Linked DNA regions of Cricetulus griseus. The protein of the gene in region 1 purifies or fractionates together with the protein of each later gene. This does not show direct contact. Links are inferred from orthologs where the notes say so. Each region holds a gene or a part of one and is shown on either strand. Other genes may lie near its edges. The genes, in order: Plekhm1, Vps33a and Vps39.

Region 1 (3,650 bases):
ACCTCCAGCAGAAGGACCTATGGCTCCATGGACATGTACTTGAAGTTGCATATCAGAGCACACACTGGCCTCCAGGCTCCCTCGGCATCAAAGTACACATTACACATTCCAAAGTCCACAGAGCGTCCTAGACCTTCTCACCTCCCGATGCCCATTTGTTCTCCATAAGGACAAGTGCCCCGCCCCATCCCCACCCCTGCTGCTGCTGTTCTCACTATGCTTTCTCTGTTCTCTATGTCTGATTATTCTCCCTTCTCTCACAGGTAGACCTGGCTATGTCCAGTCTGCTGGCTTTGTTCAGTCTATTTCTTTCTCTCTCAGCTCTGAATTCTTCCAGATACCTCTGGATATTCTCTTTTATTTACAATAAAAACCTTCCCCTTAGCCATAGCATGGGGCAATCATGTTGGCACCTCCTTGCGTACACTCACTGAACAGACAATGATTTGACTCTCAGATCTGTGAGAAATCTCATTTTAAAGATGGAGAAATGGTTCAGAAGAGTCAGCAGCAATTTGATTGGAGTAGGCCTGGAAACTAGGTTTTCTGTGAGCCCTGCCCACATATCACTGGGTTTGATTCCATCCTATACCAGGTGGCAACCTGGAAGGACCTGAACCAAGGATGTAGGGTGCACAGTAGTAATGAAAAGGTCCTAGACATGAGTTTTATGGAACAAAACAACTACCAAATACCCACAACCCTGACAATACTTTCCACTGGTAAGACTGAGAGATCACGGGGACATTCCTGACAGTGTTAATAGACAGCAGTTGTGGAAACTACAAATCAGTGCTTCTAGGAGTTGACTGAACTCAATGTCTACTGAGTGGAACAATAGACATAAGAAGAGAATGAAGAGGCTCTGACACACCAGCAATATACATATGCTATCTTTTGTAGGAAATCAAAGAAACAGGAAGAAAATTAAAAATAATAACATAAAAACACACTGTTTCTGCTACAGATACATTTAGGAACTTGGAAGCATATGCACTCAGGAGGTGGAAGCAGAGGATCAAAGAGTTCAGGGCCAGCCTGGGCTACTGTATGAGACCCTGTCTTACCAAAATAAACAAAATCAAATAAAACCCAAAAGCATTGGGGCTTGGGAATGTGGTTCAGGGGTAGAGAACTTGTGTGGCTCATGTAAGGCCCTGGTTTAACTCCCAGCACTGCATGGGAGTGTGGGGGTGTGAAGAGAAAGGGCTAGGGCTGGTGATGCAGCTTTATGCAGACAACTGAGAACTGCAGATGGAGCGGAGTTCAGCCTCATGCTCCCCTTTGGCAAAGTGAGTTAAGAGAGTCTGTTTACATACTCTATACACTCACTGATCCCCATTTGTCTCAGGTTTTGTGTCTGTCAGGTGTTATGAAAGGTCACAGTCTATGCCCTCTACTTCACCATATTTGCTGGAAGTTGTATATGCACTCTGAACTACAAGTTCCTTCCCTCTAGATGGAAAACTCATATTTTATGTGGACCTCAGAAAGGCCAAAGACTCAGGCCAACTCTGAGTACTAAATCTATTCTCCAGGTGAGAGTGATGCTCACACCTCTAATGCCAGCACTCAGGAGAACCAGGTACTATAGCCTAGACTACAGAGGGAAGCCATTTCAAAAAACAAAGCAATTTGTTCTCCCCACTGAGCTATTTCCTCAGTTACAGTAAGCCCCTTGTCTCCTTTGACTTCTTCATATACCACCAGAGTACAGTGACAATCATTTGTACAGGAAGGCAGAGCAAAGGTTGGAGGAGGATACTCACTCTTGCAGAGACCTGTCAGAGTCATCAGCATTCACTGGGCCCAGATCTGAGTCGTAGGACATGGGTTCCTCAGAACGGTCTGGACTCCTAGAGCCATTCTCTTGGAGCAGACAGCTGTCAGAGTTTAGGCTGCAGGATAGCTGGGATGAACTGGCTGTATCCAGGCTGAGGGAAGAGGCAGTGAGCTTCCTGTTCCTGCGGATCTTATGGCCAGAGTGCTGGACTTCAATGTCCTCAGAGCCTGAGGAATGGGAAATTGAATCCAGAGACTCCTTCCGTTGTAATTCTGCCCCAGAGGTAGTGAGAGGGTCAAGCTCAGAGAGGGGGCAAAGCCCAGAGAGAGACAATGGGGTGAGTGTCCATTCATTTAAGATGGCCGACTTGTAGGAGAGTTCAAAGGACAAGGACGTTAGTCCTTGCAGGAAGCTCAGGAGAAACTCGCCCTCTTCGGCATCTCGCAGCAGGGCCGTGGGCTGATAGTACTCGCACAACCGTGTGGGTTCCTGCAGGAGCAATTTCAGATAGCACTCCATCAGACCATCATTGAGGGCCAGCCGCAGCCAGGCCCGGCAGCGGCCTACGTCTGTATTGATGAAGACCAGATGCTCCAACTCTGAGACGATGTGTCTAGAGGAGGACAGAGCAGATGTGTTTCAAGAAACAACCTCAAATCTCAGAGATGTGGTTCAAGCCACTGCTTAGCAAGAACCAGTAATTAAGTACTGCAAACACAAACATACCTAAGCACAACAGATTCCATCTCAGGGAATACAGAAAAACTGAGCTGTTGAGCCATAGCTACCAGATACATCTACCAACTCAACACATTTGTTAAACTCCCAACCCCTAATTCCTGGGGAATAAACCCAGGGCCTTGCATATGCTAGGCAAGCATTCCGCTACTGAGCTATGCTCTCAGCCCCAGGTAACTGCCACTGAAAGAAATACATAAAGGTCAGTCCTATCATTGGTGGAGTGAGAGGTGGGGCCATCACTTCTGGTTAGAAAGGACGGTGTCTCGGTTAGGCCCTGAAGACTTTCCAGAAAAAAAAAAAAAAAAAAAAAAGGATAAATTTTCAGCACAATGGACTATTAGAGAAAAAGACACAATGGGCAGAAAAGTAGCAGACCTATCAGGAGACTGGGAGAGCTCCCATTACAACAGGTGGAGGGTGGCTGGTTAGGTCACAAAGCCAGGCAATAATAGATGGGGCCCTGACAATCAATTGATCAGACTATGTAGGACAAAGGGTCCCACACTTAGCTGTTAGAGCTTGGGGTGAATATTCAGCCACTATTTGGCTTCTTAGCTAAATGCCTGACACAATTCAGTATGAGTATAAAGTTTAAAACAAGAAATGGAGAAATGGCTCACTGGTTAACAGCACTGGCTACTTTTGCAGGGACCCAAGTCTGATTCCCAACACCCACATGGTGGCTTGGTCACCTCTAGCTCCAGTCCCAGGGGATCTGGCACCCTCTTTTGGCGTGTGTGCCCTGCACCAGGCACATACATGGTATGTATAGATATGAATGTATGAGTGGGGAAACACTCATACACAAAAATTTTTTTAAATTAAATTTAGATGATAGAAAAATTAGTCAAAGGCAAGGTCAGCAAACCCTGGTCCTGTTAAAAGGACCAGAGAACATTTTGGTCTTTTCAAGCCTCACAATGTAATACATGACTCAGCCTACCGTAGTCAAAGGTCAACAGTGCCGGGGTGAGGAGCAGCCACAGGCTCTTAATGAGTGTGGAGTGTCTCAAGGTCTGGAGATAAGCTTTTCTATAAGGCTGCCTCCAGCCCTACCTCACACACTGCCTACACTAGAACACTGTTTTCTGGCTTTGCCATCCTCAAGAGAGTCGAGTGCCCCGCA
Region 2 (3,650 bases), on another chromosome or scaffold:
TCAGCTGGTTTGAGTGCTATGCTTCTGGTCATAAGCAGGATTAGCAAACAAGGCACACTAAACCAAAAAGGTGGAGACTTGGAGCAACCAGGAAACCAAAGCGCTGAGTGGTACTCAACGCTCACTGCTCCTTCAAGGTCCTTTGCTTCAGATGCCACTGGGCAGGAGTCTCAGTGTCAGTGAGCACTCATGTCCCCAGGACAAGCCTCCTGTCATCTGACTCTGACCTTTGTCACCAGCAGACAAAGGACTACTTTTCCAACCCTGAACTAAGATTCAAAGCATATTTGTTAACACTTGGTCCTGAACAAACACCATTCAGTGCTCAACACATGCCTCAGCTTCTACTTCAGTCAGATGGACTTGAGTCAGGATTTAATACATATCTCATGAGGCTCTTTGTGACAATTCTGTAGGAAGTTTTTGTTTTGTTTTGTTTTTTAAGACAGGGTTTCTCTGTGTAGCCCTGGCTGTCCTGGAACTCACTCTGCAGATCAGGCTGGCCTTGAAAACAGAAGTCTGCCTGCCTCTTGACTGCTGGGATTAAATGCATGTGCACTGGCTTAGTTAGTTTTTTGAGGGAAGGTTTAGTGTAGCCCAGGCTGGTCCTGAACTCATTATGAACTGAAAATGACCCTGAGCTTGGGATCCTCCTGCCTGCAACAGCCCCAGTGCTGATGTTACAGCACACGCCACCAGGGTGGGTAAGTACACTACTGACCGAGCTACATTCCCAGGCTCTTTTCTTTCTTGTCTACGAGTCTCACAATGTGCTCAAGCTGTCCTTGAATGTATTGTCTTCCTGTCTCAGCCTTCCAAGTGCTAGGATTACGGGTACCCTGCTCAGGGGACCAAAGCTAGAGTCCCAGCACCACCCCAGGACAGCATACTGTTCTAATTAAATAATCCTTCACATAGGAAAACATAAGGAAAACATGAACTGCTTCATATCATTACTGGGGCAATCTTCTGGATGAATGCTTTTTTCTTATCCATATTTCAGGTACTTTAACTCATGATTAATAAATCATTTTTTAGAGATTTTTTGTGTGCGCCTGGGTGTGTCTGTGCATGGGTATGTGCATATGAGTGCAGGTACCCTCAGAGGTCAGTGGGATCCCTGGAAGGAGTTATAGGCAGCTGTGAGCCACCAGCTGGGGTGCTGGGACCTGAACCGGGGCCCACTACCTTAAAAAGTCATACACTTACTTCTCCTGTGACATATGCGTGACGCTAAAATGGAACTGACTGCGGGTGGCTCAGTGGTCAGGCACTTGCTTCACACTGCTTCACACCAACAAGCCCTGCTTTGAACCCTAGCACTAAGATAATAAAACAAATAGATCAAACACAGCGAGCCTTCCCAAGGAAGGACCAAGGTGCTGACGATCAGGGTGTTGGATGATGTATACACAAGCCAGTCCCAGGTGGGAAGAGCCACAACAAAGGGTACTTACTGGTGACATCTTTGATTAATTCTGCAATTGAGGTGTGGTTGGCGAGGGAGCCCCTGGCGGCCTGCATGTGGGGCAGCTGGGAAACGAACTGCTTAATCTCCCCCACTGTCTTGGCGTTGTGCCTCTCCTGCAACAGAACACAACAGGCGGCAGCGCCATGAGGCAGGAGAGCATCCCAGAGGGTGTTCCGTCAGTATCATCACGAAAGGGAAAATGCAAAGCAAGTTAAACCCAGCTCTGAAGTCACAGATAAGGTAAGCACAGTGGCATGGTGCAGCTCCCTCCCAGGACACACACACACACACACACACACACACACACACACACACACAAAGTGCTACACAAAAGGGAGCCACAAACAGCAGAAGACGTCTAGGTCAGGCAAGCCAGAGCAGACTTATAACCCCAGCACTCGGAAGACAGAAGGATCAGAAGTTTAAGGTCATCTTTAGCCATGGGACCATTTCAAAAACCAAAAGCAAACAGCAAAAAATTTTCTATTTAACAGAAACAAATCCCACCTGGCATTAGATCTCAACAGTGAATGCAGCCCATGAATACAGTGAACCTCGACTATTGACAAGAACGGTTTGTTTATTTATTTATTTATTTATTTATTTATTTATTTATTTATTTATATTTTAGGTGCATTGGGGTTTTGCCATGGGTGTTGGGTCCCCTGGAACTGGAGTTACAGACAGTTATGAGCCACCATGTGGTTGCTGGGAATTGAACCCTGATCCTCTGGAAAAGCAGTCAGTGCTCTTAACCTCTGAGTCATCTCTCCAGCCCCAATAAGAATGTTTTAATAACATCATCCAAAACAATCTACAGGAATATGGAGCTAATCCACAGGTAGAATCCCTAAGAAAGGTAACACCAGGAACACAACAACAAAAGCAAAAAGCAGTTTTCAAGAACTCTCCCTGTTTCTGTCTCTAGAGTCTAAACAGACATTTCGTAAGTCTACTGAATCCCCACATTTCAAAACCAGCTCAACAAGAACAAACTGGTTAAAGACCAGGGGAGGCAGGAGGTGGTAATGAAGCTGTGGGCGGCTGGGGATTTTGATCTCATTATCATTATCGCACATGTGGGCTTCCCGGCCACTGCCATGCTGGCCAGACCTCAAGTGCTCCCCTGGAGCTGCACACTCCATGTCCATGTCGAGTACAGCTGGCATTCTCTAGGGAGGAGGAGAGGGTAGAAGAGAAGGTCATGGGAACTCATTTAGGAAAACGTCAACACCCATGCTCTCACATTTCCTAAAAGAACAGGAACCTTTAATACAGGACTGCTGTTACAGGTCTGAGGAAAAGTTTTAAAATGATGAAAGCCTAGGCTGGCGATGCAGCTCCAGGGTACAGCACTGTCCAGCATCATCAAGGCCCTGGGTTTAATCCCTAGTACTAGAAAAGTAAATAAATAAATAAATTTTTAAAGAAAGAAACCCTTAGGTCCTCTTGAATATGCAGGTATTAGAATGAGACAGATGTACTATAGTACAGCTTCTTTTGAAAAAAGATTTATTTTTAATTATGTGTACTTGTGTGTGTGTGTCTATGTGTGGGTGTGTCCATGTAAGGCCGAAAGGGGGCCTTAGATGCTCTGGAATTTGAGCCACTCAGTGTGAGTGCTGGGAATTAAACTCTGCAAGAACAGCACTCTCCATTGCTGAGCCATCTCTCCAGCCCTAGCCCAGCTCCTAAAGTGTGGGTCACAGTCCATACAAGACTGTGTAAATGAACATGGGGGTCACAAAAAGTTAATTTCTGAACATGCATTGTCCACAAATGAACTGAAACACGTTTCTGGCAGTGCTTACTGAAGCCTTGGCCATGAACACAACATGGAGCCTTTGAGGGTATGGGTCCTCATACCATTCCAGCCTCAAATGCTGCCCAAACACCGAGACTCAGACTCAGCACTACTTCATACTATGAACTGCAGTGTCTTCACCATATGAAAGATATTTGCTCTTATAGAAATATAATGGTTTAATTACAAAATCTCACTATTTTCCTTTAAGAGTTCTGGGCCAGGGCTACATAGTGAGACAAAAAAAAAAGAAAAAAAAAAAAACCAAAAAATTCGGGCTGGAGAGATGGCTCAGTGGTTAAGAGCACTGCTTGTTCTTCCAAAGGTCCTGAGTTCAATTCCCAGCAACCACATGGTGGCTCACAACCATCTGTA
Region 3 (3,650 bases), on another chromosome or scaffold:
GTATAGACAGTGAGCCTATTTGGTCAGTGGGGCTGTAGAGCTCTGGTACCAGGCTCCCATGGGACTCTCCAGGCTGCCATGCTGAGGGTGAGGGTCTTGTGAAGCTGTGCAAATATCATAATAGAAAACTCTCAGTCAACAACCCCATGGGTACAAACACTTGAGATGAAATCTTGTCCAGGTGACTGGCATACAAAGGCAAGACGGTGCATTTCCTCCTGTCCAAGGAGGGGTTAAATTCCTGGGATCGTCTGCAACATAACAGTGTAAGATATAACTAATCTTTTTCTAGGAAAAAGCCAGCAATGCCAGGTCACAAATCCAGTTAATTCAGAGATGATCCAGGGAGCAAGGAAGCCAGTGACGTCCAAATGAGGAGACTTGGTGGTAGAGGTCCCTGGTTCCTAATGTGGCTGCTCCTTCAACTCTCTGGGAAAGTTGAGCTATCCACTGCTGAGTCCTTAGGATTCTGTGCTCAGGTGTCGGCTGGGTTGACCTCTTTGGAACAGAAGTAGTGCACAACCACTCCATTTGGGTATCTTGCAAATGCACTGTGTGGAAGAATAGTTTAGAGGTGAGTGATAGAATAGTCTCCTCTAGCACCTGCAAGAGGCACCAGCACCAGCAGCCACCCAAACCCCAAAGAACAGCCTACTCCAATATCTCTGGAATGCTGTGGTGCCTCCTTTCCAAACAGCCAGAGCATGAACTATACAACATTCAAGTGCATTAAAACATTTTTGTTACTCTATCAGTTCAGGGTTGGGGGTTTGGGTCAGTGGTAGTGTGACCCTCAGTAGTGCTATCAACTAACCAACCAACCAGCCAGCCAGGTAAATAAATGGGCAAACAGAAAGCTTGGCACTGGAGGATGATGTTCAATGGAACATGTTTTGGGCTAGTTGTAATGAATGACAGCAAGTCAGGCCTCTGCAAAGAAAGAACTCTTCTAGCTGAGTAAGAAGAGGCAGCTTCTGCTCCTTCCAGGCCAGGGGGCTGACTCTCAGGCATGTCCTAACACAGAATAATGATTGTTGTAGAATACAATAGCTCAGGAGGTTGCTCCAGTCATGAGACAGCAGGTTTTCTCCCTCGGGCCGCTCATCCTGTCTACCTGGGTACAGGCCTATAGTCCTGGCACTGGGGTGTGGCTGAGGCAGGAGGGATGATCAGAATTTCAAATTAGCCTGAGCTATCCAGCCAGCCCGCATCTCAAGACTTTCTGTATGTCTCTTAAACTCCTACTGCTGACTCTCTGGCTCCTGTTCATTTTAGCTGCCTGAGGAACAGAGCTTTCTGGGCCAGAGTTCAACAGCTCTGTGCCATGTCAGCTCTTTAAACTATCGAAGATTCCCCCCAACAGATAATATGGCTTGCTCTCTCAAAGCTCAAGAACTCAATAACACAAGACAGCTTCTATCTGTGGTGGGTGTGAGGTCAGTGCTGTCCATGTGACAGAATCTAGAATCACCTGGGAGCTGGGCCTCTGACATTCCTGTGGGGGATTATCTTGATTTCATTAACCGATGTGGGAAGACCAATCTTGATTGTGGGTAGGACTATTCCCTTGGTAGGGACTGTGAAGAATGGAGAGGAAGAGCTGAGCAATAGGAAGCATTCACTGCTCGCTCTCGCTTGCTCATTCTCTCTCTCTCTCTCTCTCTCTCTCTCTCTCTCTCTCTCTCTCTCTCTCTCTCTCTCTCTCTCTCTCTGGTTTTTCAAGACAGGGTTTCTCTGTGAAACAGTCCTGGCTGTCCTGGAACTCACTCTGTAGACCAGGCTGGTCTCGAACTCACAGAGATCCACCTGCCTCTGCCTTCGGAGCACCGGGATTGAAGGCGTGCGCCACCATGCCTGGCCCTGCTCTCAGTTTCTTGGCTGCGGAATGCAATGTAACCAGCTGCCTCAAGCTCCTGCCTTGATCTGCCAGAATAAACCTCCCTCAAGCTGCCTTTGTGGCAACAGGGTAAGAAACTCAGGGCAGAGATCTACCCCACACCTCTACTCTCCGGGACCCATCTGCTCCAGACGCTGCTCGGGAGGGGCTCACCTGTTCCCAATCTTCTTCTTGCACACCATGCACACCTTCTCCTCGGTGATGATGCACTTCACCTGCTGGTGTAAAATCCGTTCTTCCTGAACCTGGAAGAGATGGGAGAAGTTCCATGTCAAGGTGTAGAAACGGAAGTAGAAGTTGGCATTGTTTGTGTCTTCTTCAGCTTCCATAGATTCTACTAAACGCCATTCTGACTTCCAGATCACCTGAGCTATGTGCTTCCTTGATGACAACAATTATGTGAAAAGTGTCTCAATTAAAACTCAAAGCCCACTGAGCATGGTGGTGCAGGCCTTTAATTCCAGAACTCAGGAGACAAAGACAAGTGGATCTCTGTGAATTCAAGGATAGCCTGGTCTACACAGTGAGTTTCAGGACAGCCACTCAGAGAAACCCTGTCTCAAAAAACCCAACCAACCAACCATCCAGCCAACCAAACAAACCCCAAAGACCCACAACAAGTGTGGAAGGCCCATACTCTCAGGAACTCGGCATGGAGAAGGTTCTTGAGCACTTGATTGAACCGTTTCTTCTGTGCATTTTCTTCCAAGACCTTTTCTAAAAAGATGCGTATGTCATTGATCTGAGTGTTTGCTGGTAGAAGGTTGATCGCCTGGGGCAGTGACAGGATGGAGATGGGTTAGGAAGATCAGGAGTGAGACCAAGAAAAGCTTGTGCCTATCCCCTTCCCCAGCCCTCTTCTCACTCCTGCTCTATCGGCAGGCCCCTGACCTTGGTGGTATCTAATTTGCTGTAGTGCAGCTCTAGGACCTGCAGGGCAGCCTGGAGGTTGGCCTGTGGCTCCAGTAGCTCCAGTTTGATTGGTCCCAGGCAGTGGATGCTGGGGGGTGACAGGTACATCCGAAGCAGGGACAGATATACCTGTTTCATAGATACAAACATGCATGTCAGGGTTAACAGCAACCTTCCTAGGACCCCCAGCCCTGAGCTTCCCTGATGATTAGAGAGGGCTGGTCAATAACAACCACTGGCATGGAGCACTCCAAATCCATCACCTTCCCCTTAATTTTTTGGCAAAGTCAAACAGCCAAATGAGGATGCCAATTATTGCTTTTTCTATGAATGCCTTGTATCTGTTTAACGTTATACCATTCACAGAAAGTTAACACTGCTAAATAACCTAAAGATTCTTCATTTTCTTATGCTTTGGAGGCTGAGAGCCTGGCCATGTTTCTGACTGGTTCTAGTGGCACTGGGTCACTCCATCCTAGCACTCTTAGCACTCTTTTTTTTTTTTTTAATTTTTATTTTTTATGAGCATTGGTATTTTGCCACGGAACTGGAACTACAGACAGTTGTGAACTGCCATGTGGGTGCTGGGAATCAAACCCAGGTCCTCTGGGAGAGCATTCAGTGTTCTTAACCTCTGAGTCATCTCTCCAGCCCGCATCCTAGCACTCTTAACAAAGACACTTCTATACTGCATCATTTGGCAGCATCTCTGGCCTATACCCCCAGATTCCCACCCAACTCCCAGTCACACCAATCACAAAGGTTTTGTGGTACTGACAAATTGATGTATAATCAGACCCTTTCCCCGAGATGGGCCAATCCACATTAATTTAATACATAA

What was found.
Region 2: the proteins of Plekhm1 (region 1) and Vps33a purify together in Homo sapiens (affinity purification with western blotting; 3 studies listed by BioGRID and IntAct, with this or other methods). This does not show direct contact. The link is inferred for Cricetulus griseus from reciprocal best matches to the Homo sapiens genes PLEKHM1 and VPS33A.
Region 3: the proteins of Plekhm1 (region 1) and Vps39 purify together in Homo sapiens (co-immunoprecipitation; 3 studies listed by BioGRID and IntAct, with this or other methods). This does not show direct contact. The link is inferred for Cricetulus griseus from reciprocal best matches to the Homo sapiens genes PLEKHM1 and VPS39.

The regions. Positions count from the first base shown.
Region 1 is NC_048600.1:114,752,995-114,756,644, reverse strand, and holds part of Plekhm1 (pleckstrin homology domain-containing family M member 1), read right to left. Parts: intron 2,397-3,650; coding exon 1,770-2,396; intron 1-1,769. UniProt on the Homo sapiens protein: Acts as a multivalent adapter protein that regulates Rab7-dependent and HOPS complex-dependent fusion events in the endolysosomal system and couples autophagic and the endocytic trafficking pathways.
Region 2 is NC_048597.1:103,299,628-103,303,277, forward strand, and holds part of Vps33a (vacuolar protein sorting-associated protein 33A), read right to left. Parts: intron 1,585-3,650; coding exon 1,458-1,584; intron 1-1,457.
Region 3 is NC_048599.1:58,178,003-58,181,652, reverse strand, and holds part of Vps39 (vam6/Vps39-like protein), read right to left. Parts: intron 2,939-3,650; coding exon 2,789-2,938; intron 2,670-2,788; coding exon 2,535-2,669; intron 2,143-2,534; coding exon 2,051-2,142; intron 1,578-2,050; coding exon of another isoform or gene 1,520-1,577; exon of another isoform or gene 1,482-1,519; intron 552-1,481; coding exon 476-551; 3' UTR 1-475. UniProt on the Homo sapiens protein: Regulator of TGF-beta/activin signaling, inhibiting SMAD3- and activating SMAD2-dependent transcription.